Linked DNA regions of Schizosaccharomyces pombe. The protein of the gene in region 2 interacts with the protein of the main gene of each other region in a pairwise test. Each region holds a gene or a part of one and is shown on either strand. Other genes may lie near its edges.

Evidence for each region.
Region 1: the proteins of rpn502 (region 2) and rpn9 interact in a two-hybrid assay, tested with the Schizosaccharomyces pombe proteins (one study listed by BioGRID).
Region 3: the proteins of rpn502 (region 2) and rpt1 interact in a two-hybrid assay, tested with the Schizosaccharomyces pombe proteins (one study listed by BioGRID).

Annotation. Positions count from the first base shown.
Region 1 is NC_003424.3:2,041,964-2,045,710, reverse strand, and holds rpn9 (19S proteasome regulatory subunit Rpn9), read right to left. Parts: upstream 1,904-3,747; 5' UTR 1,870-1,903; coding exon 1,757-1,869; exon of another isoform or gene 1,703-1,756; coding exon 670-1,702; 3' UTR 552-669; downstream 1-551. Other genes in the region: SPOM_SPAC607.06C (metallopeptidase), read left to right, coding at 1-427, 466-501; arg82 (inositol polyphosphate kinase), read right to left, coding at 2,415-3,221. UniProt on the Schizosaccharomyces pombe protein: Acts as a regulatory subunit of the 26S proteasome which is involved in the ATP-dependent degradation of ubiquitinated proteins.
Region 2 is NC_003424.3:4,908,841-4,912,972, forward strand, and holds rpn502 (19S proteasome regulatory subunit Rpn502), read right to left. Parts: upstream 2,036-4,132; coding exon 1,952-2,035; intron 1,905-1,951; coding exon 657-1,904; 3' UTR 527-656; downstream 1-526. Other genes in the region: rsm22-cox11 tandem protein cox1102, read left to right, coding at 1-399; plasma membrane malate/succinate:proton symporter Mae1, read left to right, coding at 3,457-4,132. UniProt on the Schizosaccharomyces pombe protein: Acts as a regulatory subunit of the 26S proteasome which is involved in the ATP-dependent degradation of ubiquitinated proteins. Required for proper proteasome assembly.
Region 3 is NC_003423.3:4,341,018-4,345,157, reverse strand, and holds rpt1 (proteasome regulatory subunit Rpt1), read left to right. Parts: upstream 1-1,777; 5' UTR 1,778-1,789; coding exon 1,790-1,903; intron 1,904-1,959; coding exon 1,960-2,041; intron 2,042-2,236; coding exon 2,237-3,357; 3' UTR 3,358-3,535; downstream 3,536-4,140. Other genes in the region: qcr6 (ubiquinol-cytochrome-c reductase complex subunit 8), read left to right, coding at 59-130, 187-375, 423-601; vacuolar protein sorting receptor vps10, read right to left, coding at 3,706-4,140. UniProt on the Schizosaccharomyces pombe protein: The 26S proteasome is involved in the ATP-dependent degradation of ubiquitinated proteins. The regulatory (or ATPase) complex confers ATP dependency and substrate specificity to the 26S complex.

The DNA.
Region 1 (3,747 bases), 2.9 Mb from region 2:
CAATGTACCTGAAATTATAAAAAATGCGAAGGTTGAATCGTCTTTTGGAACTGTTTATCGATCTGAAAGATATGGTTTGCGAGGTTGTAATGGGAAAGAGTTATCAAATATTTTAATAGCACCTGAAAAGTTTAAGCCTACTAAAATTCGTGTTCATTGTGGTTTAGCTTTGGATGGAATTGAAGTATTTTTTGGTGATGAATCAGTTCTTCTTGGTAACCGTGGTGGAAGCCCTCACGATTTTGAAATACAAGGCTCCCAAATTGTAGGCTTTCAAATACGTTGTGGAGCCTGGGTGGATGGGATATCCATTGTTTTAGAAAATGGTAAAACAAGTCCATTTTATGGAAATGCTAACGGGGGTGGGTTGAAAAGCTATTTAGTCCCAAAAGGTTTTCAATTAGTCGGGTTTTATGGCACATTAGGGGTAAGTTTTTTTTTATATTATTGATCTAACATTAATAGCCATTCATGGATTCAATTGGGTTTTTTATTAAGTAGCTTGAATTCTGAATACTAATTGAATACAATTGCTTAAGGAGAATGAAATTACGTACCATGTTTACAACTAATAAAATTACTACACTGAAATGTATAATAATGTATAGAAAAATAGTTCTATTTACTTTATAGCATGTCTTGTCTTTTAAACAATGAGTTTTGTAGTCATCAAACGAAAACACCTTTTCCAGAAATTTCAACCACATTAGAAAGGTTCTTAATATTTTGGTTCCATTCTCGTAGACGAGATTCCATGCTTGCAATTTGCGAGTGATTTAAAATTCTAGATTGGACGGAAGAAATGGTGACAATTTGGGTAACCTCATCTATAACACCTGTTATAAGCCCTACGCTTAAAGCACGCATAATGAGTAACTCAACTTCATTAGAAGGAATACGGGTTGCACGAGCAATTGTATCAAATGTTAAAGTACGCTGATTTGGAGGTAATTGGAAGACCAACTCAATGAGGGCCATTAAACGAATTTTTTGACCTAGTAAAGCAACCGAACTTTGCAGTAAAGGCATTTTGTTAATTTGCCCCATTAAGCGTTCAAACAAAGGTAAATCTCCGACATTCATGGCGATGACTAAATCATGTAACCACTCGTGCTGTGTACCTACTAGCAACTCGAAAACAGGATGTAATAATAATTCACCAAAATTATAAATATCACCGAGTATTGCGGCAACACTTAGATCCACCGCTCTTTCAACTAACTCGGTATGAGAGCATTTATCGAGGTCGATGCAAGATAAATACAATAGACAATGACGATAGTATTGAGCATAATCAGCCTTTGCCTTGTAGTAGTCTGCACTGACGCTATAATATGAAGAATGAATAAGACTTTCTACGTAATCAATGTGGTCGATAATTTTTGAGGCTTTGACAAGTAGTTCCCGGGCTTCATCCAACTTACCACTAATCAGCTTGATGCGAGCAATGGCAACAATGGAATATACATAGGCATCTTTATATTTCTCTTCATCCAATTCGTTAACAATTTGGTTTAAATTACGAAGGGCTTCGTCGTTAGAACATGACTCAAAAGCCTTTAAGCCCATGTACACTGCTTTGAGTTGATTGATATTAGGTCGAAATGAGTTGACAAAGTTCGTATACAAAGGAAGCCTTAAAGGTACTGTTTCTGGGGTATCAAAGAAAACAATCAAAGCATCTGTAAGTTGTTTCCATAATCTGGCGTCAGTTAATGTAAAGTTCATTTTCTTCTAAAGCACTTTTACAACATACTTCCTTTCATAAAGGTCTTCCATTAAAATATAGGATTGCTGAAGGCTTTCTGGAGCTCTTGTAGCTTGATCGTGTAAAAAATCAGACATATTGACAGACATTTCGGTATCCATGATGAAATCCTTCGTGGAGTAGTTGTTTGCTGATGGCAAGTGCTCAAGTCATATTACTACTGTTTGAAACTTTAGGTAAATGGAGAAATATAAGCATATTTATTTTATTTTCATTATGTTAGTTAAAATTATTATTAAAAAAAAAGTTAAAGCGTATTTGAAAGCATATAAGTAAAGCATGCTTTAGTAACCTCTATGAAAACAACGCAAGGTATAAAGCAAACTTCTATAAGTAAACGAACTATTTTATTAAGAGAAAACTGACTGTTTTTTAAGTAGTTCGTTTGTGGAATAAGATCTTTATCTTACCAAAAATAAAAAGGGTAGATAACCTTTCTGAAAATTTTCATAAAATAAACGAAGAATAAAAATTATTTTCTTTTCTATAACAAATCAATACTTCACGATCACTCAAAAAAATAAATAAGGTATCATTTTTATAATAGTTATAGTGGAATACTATACAGATAAATTAATTAGCTTTAACCAGCAATGATTAAAAAAATTACTTTTCTTTTAAAGGAATTTATCATGTCAGTATTCAATTATTCATTCTTCAGGAGCATCGCAAAACAGTGAATTAAGTTTTTAACCCCAATTAATGTGTTATGGTCTATAGTGTTTTTCGTCCATCTAGAATGTGCCAAATCTATCAGCTTGAGAACTACATTGCTTTCACAATGATACGTTGGATTTAGGGAAGAGTAATCATAAACGAAAAGAATACTAGAAGATTTTAATTCAATATAAGACTCAGAAAGATCAACTTCAAATAATTTCAATAAATTAAGGAAGCTTTCAACCAACCTTGCTTTTTGAGAAAGAGAGCAAGAGACAAAAAAATCATTTAAGCCTTCTACGACATCTGAATCCGTAAGGGTTTTACCCCAAGCTGTTGATCGTTTAATGTACGTATTGTTTGTTCTGTCCCACGACAATATACCAGTTATACGAAATCCAAGACTACCACTCGTCGTACTTCTGGAAACGGCATCTAATCTTTTTCGTTTTTCAAGAGGAGCGTCATCGGCCCACAACTGTTTTCCTAATTTGATATCCATGACACAAGGAGTTTCCATCTGATACAGAATATTTTCTAAGATTATAGCTTTTCCAGTTAAGGAAAAAGCAACACTTTCTGCGATCGGGTTGATACCCTCAATGTCTCTACTAGAAGGCATCCACTCACCGAAATTCTTAGGAATCCAGTTGTAGAGCGTAATATTGTCGTTACATGTTTTATAAAAATCAACTTCACTTTTAATGCATGGCTTAATTAGAATTTTATCATCCTCACTGACTAGTACTTGGCCATGACCAGCAGCTTGAAATGGAAACAGTTTTAGTTTCATCAAGAGTTAAAGAAAAAATCCGCTAGTACATGTTTTTTCGTCAAAAGTATATTTCTTGAAAATTGCAATACGCGTTTAGCAATATGCTGAAGCGTTATTTTCGATGTGACAGCTGTTGGGTAAGCGGAATGTAGAATGAATTGAAATAGTGTAGAGCTATATCAACCACTTCCACTGCTTGCACGAACATGCAGGTTATATGAGCTGAATAAATAAGTGTAAAATTTTATCTAATAATATAAAACAATGAATTTCCTAAACACATATCCAAATGTGTATGTACTCGCTGTTAATTTATTCAGCTTTTTTTACAGTAGATAAAGTTGTAGCCTGGAGATCGAAGTATGAATTTAACAGAAAGTATAAACTTTTTTGGATATTATTTAGAAAGTGTTTTGCAAAGTTTTTATAAATTATAATATTATTAAAAACCTATATTCCAAACCACTAAGGGAAAATATTTTAGCTAAATTACAATTTACACACTTTCAATAGTATGTACCAGGGCTTTTTTTTTTTTTTTTTT
Region 2 (4,132 bases):
GACAATAAAAGAATCAGAGTTACTTTCAATGGCGACGTTGCAGGAAACCTTAGCTGGAAGCTTTGGCCCCAGCAGCGTGAAATATATGTTCTTCCAGGCGAGACTGCTCTAGGGTTTTATACTGCTGAAAATACGTCCGACCATGACATAGTAGGAGTTGCAACTTATAATATAGTACCAGGTCAAGCCGCTGTTTACTTCTCAAAGGTTGCATGCTTTTGCTTTGAAGAGCAAAAGCTAGATGCTCATGAAAAAGTAGACTTGCCTGTGTTTTTCTTTATAGATCCAGAATTTGCTGATGATCCAAATATGAAGGATATTGACGATATTCTTCTAAGCTATACTTTTTTTGAGGCCAGATATGATACCAATGGCAATCTTTTAACTAAACTCAACTGAAATAAAAATTAAGGGACTACATATTGAGTGAACTACAATAATTTATTTAAAATAATTCATCAAGTTAACCTTCTAGTTACGAGACAAATAACAACGAAAATCACTACAAACTTACTAGAATAACTTTCTCCGAGGTTGCAATTCGACATTAAAACTATTGTATTCTCGTAAAAAAAGTTGAAGGCCTTTGAACCAATAGTATATTATTTAAATGACAAAGTCATGAAAGTAACGAAATGAAATAGAGACGGAACAATTTATTTGGCTACCGCCTGTTGAATAGAATTCATCATTTCTTCTTTTATAATAAGCTGTCTTACCTTTTCCAATTTTCCAAGAAGTTCAGTAATATTGGAACCCCACTCATTCAATTGCTCTTGCACATTTTGAGATTTCTTGAATGAAATGACTTGAGCTGGGCGATCAATCTTGGCATAGAAATGATGCTTTGCAATAAGGTCGCAAAGAAATTGTTCTGTTTCGGAAGGACTCATATCCAACAACACTCCTAGACGACTGCAATGAATGCGGGAATAATAGTTTGCGACTACACGAATATTGTGTTCGATGACTCGCTTACGAAGTTCAGACCAACGTTTCTCACCTTTTTCGTCATTTTCAGCAAAAACAGGATTACTCCTTAAAGCACTTCCATAGATTTCGGCAATTTTGGGCCATCTCATTAGTTCATTGACAATAAAGCACTTAACCAATTGTTGGAGTAAAGGAAGAGAATTTAGTTTATGGTCAGCATTAATTCGGTGAAGAAGATCTGCCTGCTCGTTATCATAAGGAGTAAGCAAGGCAAAGCAAACGACATTTTCTAATATTTCTTTCCATTTCTCGGGGTCCTCTTGAACCACGGCGGTGTCATAAACTGCTCGATAATATTTACAAACATCAAGATATGCATCGTCGTGCAAACCAATTCGGATTTTTTGCTCATAATACTTAAGTTTTAAAGACTGGACGTCTTCCTTTTCAAAAAACTTAACATTTATTTTCTTCGTGTAAGTAGATGCCATGTAGTAATCAGACCTCAGTAAGAATAATCTAACTTGATCCAAAATGAATGCAACTTTTTCCTTCAAATCAAAAGATCCGTAAGTCTCTACTGGTTCATTACACAAGATCTCCTGGGCAGATTTGATGTCACCTTGCTCTTCTTTAATCTGGGAAAGCAGTTGTGTAAGACGTGCCCTTTCTACTTCCACATATATCTTTCCATCAGTAATAGTACGCAATGTTTCAATCAAATTAATTTTTGTTTTTAAATCGTCAATTCCAGGAAGATAGGTCATTACATGTTGGACTAAACTTGTCATCGATTGTTTCAGTTGGCCATGCTTTTTAAAGAGACTAACCAACTGTTCGTTTAAGCCTTGGAAATCACCAGCTCGAAAGAGCAAATCAGCAATGTATATTAATACTTTCGTATTCGTGCTGGTGTCAGAAGCCTGACGAACTTGCTTCTCAAAAATCAAAAGCTTCTCGAGGTTCGCATCCTACAATTACAAGTTAGAGATTAGTCAAAATTTTGATTTTTACGTACGATGTCTATGGTATTAAGGTTATTTAAACTTTTTTGTAACTCTGCAAACTTCTCTGAGTAATCAACTTCCGGTTTCTGTTCCATTTCGATATGTGGGTTGTTGGAGAGTGTACAATTGAGACTAATATTGCGAGTTGATTTCTTATGATTACAGAGTTGTACCGCACGCTCGCAAAATACTTTAGTTGTCAGCAATACTACTCTACGCTATGATACACTACGTTGCGTATCACTATATGTCATATGTTGGAATACTAGCTAAGATCCGTTTATTGATAATCACGGGTAACGATCCGTCTATATACATAGATACCCGTTGATAACGCGAATGAGCCGTTCGGCTTCTTAGTTCGTAGATCCGAGATTTCGAACTGCTTTTAGGCAGTAAATGATAGCTTTTCCATCTAACTGACTCTAAAATCACACTCCCTTGTTACTGGACCCACATTAGCGATAGCGGATACAAAAATGCAGGGAATTGAAAGACCGAGTTCGTGGCCTATTGAGAGAAAATGGAACTTCCCTTCCCAAAAGCACCTTTGACCTGCAGAAAAATTAGGCCAATTATTATGATGCCAAGTCTGGAAAAACACCACAGGTTCGGTATATTATTATTGTCAATATTGTTATACTGAGTTAGTTTTTTTTTTTTTTTTTTTTTTTTTTTTTTTTTTTAATACCAAAGTTTCGTATGCCTATAGCATTAATCTAGATCTAGCTTGCGTCATATAAGGACCAGATTTACTCTTGACCGACTTCATAGCAGCATAATTAGCATCTCCTCGGCATAAAAGAAAAAATTTTGCTATCTCCACTCTCACAAGGTTAGCGAAGGTTTGTGCATTTGACAGCAGGTTGGTTAAATTCGTTAAGCTTCCAAGAGATATAAATATAGTGGCTCGAATTTGACTTATCCAGTCAGTCATTCATTGCTGAAGTTGTTGGGTTGGCCAGGTCCATCGGTAAGTTTTTGTTTTGTAGGATGACTGTATAGTTTGGCTTTTTGTTGTGTAGTGCCAGTTTGTTTGCGATGAGGATCAACGTTGCAATCTGTTGGTAGAAAGTTGCCCCTCGAAAATCTTGGAAATTTGGATTTGTATGCATCTTTTCTTGTTGATTTCTAAGTTGATCACTATTTGTTTGTTCTATTTTTGTTTTCTTTTACTTGTTTGCTACACAAAATAAGCTTATTTGTTGCTGCACTAGACTTTTTGTTTGATTTCTCATCCTACTTCTGTATCGGCAGTTTGCCTCATTTACTAAGACTAGCAACAGCCAGTCATTCATTTTTTACACTCTCTATCATTTTTTATTTTCATCACGATAACTAACATGTGCGATTAGACTCACAGATAAATTGCTAGCAATTGGTTGTCTCTTTCCTTCCTCCGTCTTTTCCTTTTTGTTCCTTTTTCTCCTTATATTATATTATATTATATTCATTCTTCATTTTCTCTCTTGGCCACTATTTTTTTTTTTAATTCCCCTTTATCTCTCGATTCGACATGGGTGAACTCAAGGAAATCTTGAAACAGAGGTATCATGAGTTGCTTGACTGGAATGTCAAAGCCCCTCATGTCCCTCTCAGTCAACGACTGAAGCATTTTACATGGTCTTGGTTTGCATGTACTATGGCAACTGGTGGTGTTGGTTTGATTATTGGTTCTTTCCCCTTTCGATTTTATGGTCTTAATACAATTGGCAAAATTGTTTATATTCTTCAAATCTTTTTGTTTTCTCTCTTTGGATCATGCATGCTTTTTCGCTTTATTAAATATCCTTCAACTATCAAGGATTCCTGGAACCATCATTTGGAAAAGCTTTTCATTGCTACTTGTCTTCTTTCAATATCCACGTTCATCGACATGCTTGCCATATACGCCTATCCTGATACCGGCGAGTGGATGGTGTGGGTCATTCGAATCCTTTATTACATTTACGTTGCAGTATCCTTTATATACTGCGTAATGGCTTTTTTTACAATTTTCAACAACCATGTATATACCATTGAAACCGCATCTCCTGCTTGGATTCTTCCTATTTTCCCTCCTATGATTTGTGGTGTCATTGCTGGCGCCGTCAATTCTACACAACCCGCTCATCAATTAAAAAATATGGTTATCTTTGGTATCCTCTTTCAAGGACTTGGTTTTTGGGTTTATCTTTTACTGTTTGCCGTCA
Region 3 (4,140 bases), on a different chromosome or scaffold from region 2:
AACCGTTTTTGTAGACGTTCTATAGTGCGTTATTGAAGTGATGCTAATAATGTGGTAGAACCTATTGTCTCGGCAGATGATGCCAAAGGAGCACAGGGTAAAGGGGCCGATGAAAAAGAGGAGAAAAAGGGTAAGTATTGAAGCGTTGATTTTGATAAAATTCGTATTAATCATGGGATTGTTCAGAAACCATTCAACCCCCTGAAGAAGTAAAGACTGAACCCCCTCAACCTGAAGAAAAGGAAGGAAAGGAGGCCAAGGAACCTGAGGAACCTCCAAAGGAAGAAGCTGAGGAACCCCAAGAAGGAGGGGAAGAGGAAGAAGAAGAAGAAGAAGAAGAAGAAATTACTGATCCTTTGGAAAAAATGACTCAAGGTTCGCTTATTTGAATGGGTGTACTGTTTCTTGCTAACATTTTTTAGAATGCATGGATGCACCAGATTGCAAGGAAGTGAAACACCATTTTGAAGAATGTACTGCCCGTGTTACAAAGAAGGTAGAGCAGGGCGACAAGTCTGAAGACTGTATTGAAGAGTTTTTTCATCTTTACCATTGCGCTCGTGATTGTGCCGATCCTAAAGTCTTTAAGGTTTTGGTTTAAATGCATTTAACGCTTGGTAAGGTCGAACGAATGGAATTATATGATTCAATTTTAGGAGGCATTCGTAATACTACCTTAATGTTGGTATCTATTCCTAAAATAACATTCCTTTTTTTATGTAAAAAATGGATTAAGATGATTCCCTAACGTTTTGTAGATGATATCGACCTACGTTAAGGTAGTAAATTTAGTTTTCAACTTTCGATTCTATTTTTATATTCCAATAATTTTTCGGTTTATAGAGCGTACATTAGATAAGTAAATGATGACCGGTAATCCCAATAGTCTTAGTACACTTACTTTGAGGGTATTATGTGAGTTACTAAAGTTTGAAAACTATTTAGAGGTTTTTGCTTACCGATTTGTCCCTAGGACGCTCAAAGGAAAGGACCGGGTTTACTGATTTAGTAGTAGGGTTGTATCAATACAGAAATAAATTACGAAATTTTATTATGGGACCAGGAAATGTTGAAATGACTTGAACACTTTAAGAGTTGCGGGTATTTAGGAAGGAAAAGCATTACATGCTTAATAATCCTGTTCCACCTTTTTTATTATATTTTATATAAAAGAGAATTGAACATATATACTACAAAGGCTAATGCATTAGGAAAGAAAATACAAAAAAAAATAATTCAGGAAATAACTTTTTTTGTTTCGAGTGACTTTCTGCACCCTTTTTTGCTTTATGTAGAAAAAAAAATATATATATATATATATGTATTTTTTTTTTTTTTTTAATTGCTCCCATAGTATCATATTAATTGGGAGTATTGCAGTTGCAATAATCAATTTATAACCCGGTCATAATCCGAGAATTTATAATTGCGCCTAATACAAAATAACAATTTGATAGATTTAAATTTACTCTCAAGCGATCTGTATATTTTAATAAATTTATTTGGTTTTGTAAATATCAATGTACGATTTGCCTAACCACTTTTCCAATTTTCCACAAAAACAAGGCACCTATTCAGTTCATACTAAAAAAGATTAGGAAATTTTTCAATGGAAATAGAGGGAAATAGTATTCACACTTACTAATGCTATAATTTAAATCGGTTTTTACCAAGTAAATTTCTTAGCAATATTTGCAGAATTATAAATCAGGTAACATTGCGACTTTGGGTGGCCTCTAGGTTAGTATAATGTGTCGAATATACCTGTACCTATACTGAACCAACTACAATGCCACCTAAAGAAGATTGGGAGAAATACCAAAAGCCAGTTGATACGGAAGAAGAAAATGATAAAAATCCACCACCTTTAGACGAAGGAGACATCGAGCTCTTAAAAAGCTACGTAAGTTACATTAATGATTGAATTTGTCACCAGCAGCATACTAAATGTCAATGTAGGCTACAGGCCCATATGCTAGAGAATTAGCAGCTATTAAAGAAGATACAGAGGCTGTGTTAAAAAGAATTAATGATACTGTTGGTATGTTTTATGTCGAGAAAGCAGTTGCACGATGTTGTCTGATGAATGGCGTTCCTGTAGTTCATATAGCTGATATGAACTACAAGATATGACATTCATGAACAGGATGTATTTTTACAATTTTTTATCATGTAAAATGCTCTCATTTTATATGAAATTTGCTTAACCCGTTGTTCTATTGCTAACTAGCCCTAGGAATTAAGGAGTCTGACACTGGTCTAGCACCAATTTCATTTTGGGACGTTGCTGCGGACCGCCAAAGGATGAGTGAAGAACAACCTTTACAGGTTGCCAGATGTACCAAAATTATTGAGAATGAACAATCTGCGGAGAAAAATGCATATGTCATTAATTTGAAACAGATTGCAAAATTTGTTGTCAGTTTAGGTGAACGAGTTAGTCCCACCGATATTGAAGAAGGGATGCGTGTCGGTTGTGATCGTAACAAATATGCTATTCAGCTTCCTCTTCCTCCCAAAATTGATCCTTCAGTTACTATGATGCAAGTTGAAGAAAAGCCAGATGTTACTTACGGAGATGTGGGTGGTTGTAAAGAACAAATAGAAAGACTTCGCGAAGTCGTCGAGCTTCCTTTACTATCTCCCGAAAGATTTGTTAAGCTTGGTATTGACCCTCCCAAGGGTATTATGCTTTATGGACCACCAGGGACTGGTAAGACACTATGTGCTCGTGCTGTTGCCAATCGGACTGATGCAACTTTTATTCGTGTAATCGGTTCCGAGTTGGTTCAAAAATATGTCGGTGAAGGTGCTCGTATGGTTAGAGAATTATTTGAAATGGCACGAACTAAAAAAGCATGTATTATCTTTTTTGACGAAATTGACGCTATTGGCGGGGCTCGCTTTGATGATGGAGCAGGTGGTGATAATGAAGTTCAAAGAACAATGCTTGAATTAATTACCCAGTTGGATGGATTCGACCCTCGTGGTAACATTAAAGTTCTGTTTGCGACCAACAGACCAAATACCTTGGATGAAGCTTTGATGCGTCCCGGTCGTATAGATCGTAAAGTTGAGTTTGGTTTACCTGATTTAGAAGGTCGTGCTCATATTTTACGCATCCACGCTAAAAGTATGGCGATTGACAAGGATATTCGTTGGGAATTAATTGCACGGTTATGCCCTTCACAAACTGGTGCAGAGCTTCGTTCTGTATGCACTGAGGCTGGAATGTTTGCGATTCGTGCTAGAAGAAGAGTTGCTACCGAAAAGGATTTCCTTGACGCCGTTCAAAAGGTTGTAAAAGGTAACCAAAAGTTTAGCAGTACTGCTGATTATATGAACATGAGCTCTTAGATAATTTCCTTTATTACGCCATTCTTTATGAGATTTCATAGGTTTATCCCGCAAATGAATTAAAAAACTTCAAAATTTTGTTGCCTGGTCACTTTAGCTGTTCGAACTAGAAACGTATTAGAAAGCTTTGTTTGATATCTTATGTAATAAATGACAGGTTGCAACGTTGGCATGAAAGAAAATTTCGTTCATTATACTACACGTATGTGCATGAGTGTATGTATGTAAATATATATATTTATACATTAAACTACCATATATATCAACTGATCATTAATATAAGAACGTGGCATAGCTGCTTTACATGATGAGTGGAATGATTGACAAACATGCCCAGGTTAAGTTAAATCAAACTGACTCTTCGTCATCATCATCTATCTCATAATTTTGAAGGAATGCCGCATTTTCAAATTCACCATTCGTCGGTGTAGATCTTATAAACAGTGACCGAACGCTTTGGTAAAGAGCGGAAAAGAATATTGGAATTGATGAAAAAGCTCCTCTTGTGTACGATATGCCTGATTCCAAAGGATTTTCAGTCGCTGAATCAGAACCAAGTCTTATAGCACCTTTAAGGAAACGACGAGAATAATAATAAAGAATGCAACCAGCCACTGCAGCCAGCAGGATAGAGAATATAATAGTCAAAAAGATACTCCATCCTCCAGGTTTTGGATGAGCTTTGTAATAATCATCTTCTTTGCCGGGACATGGATGAAGCGTTCCAGCGTCCAAAGGTACCCCACCTTCACATTCTGTTAAAGGAGTGCGTTTATAACCAGT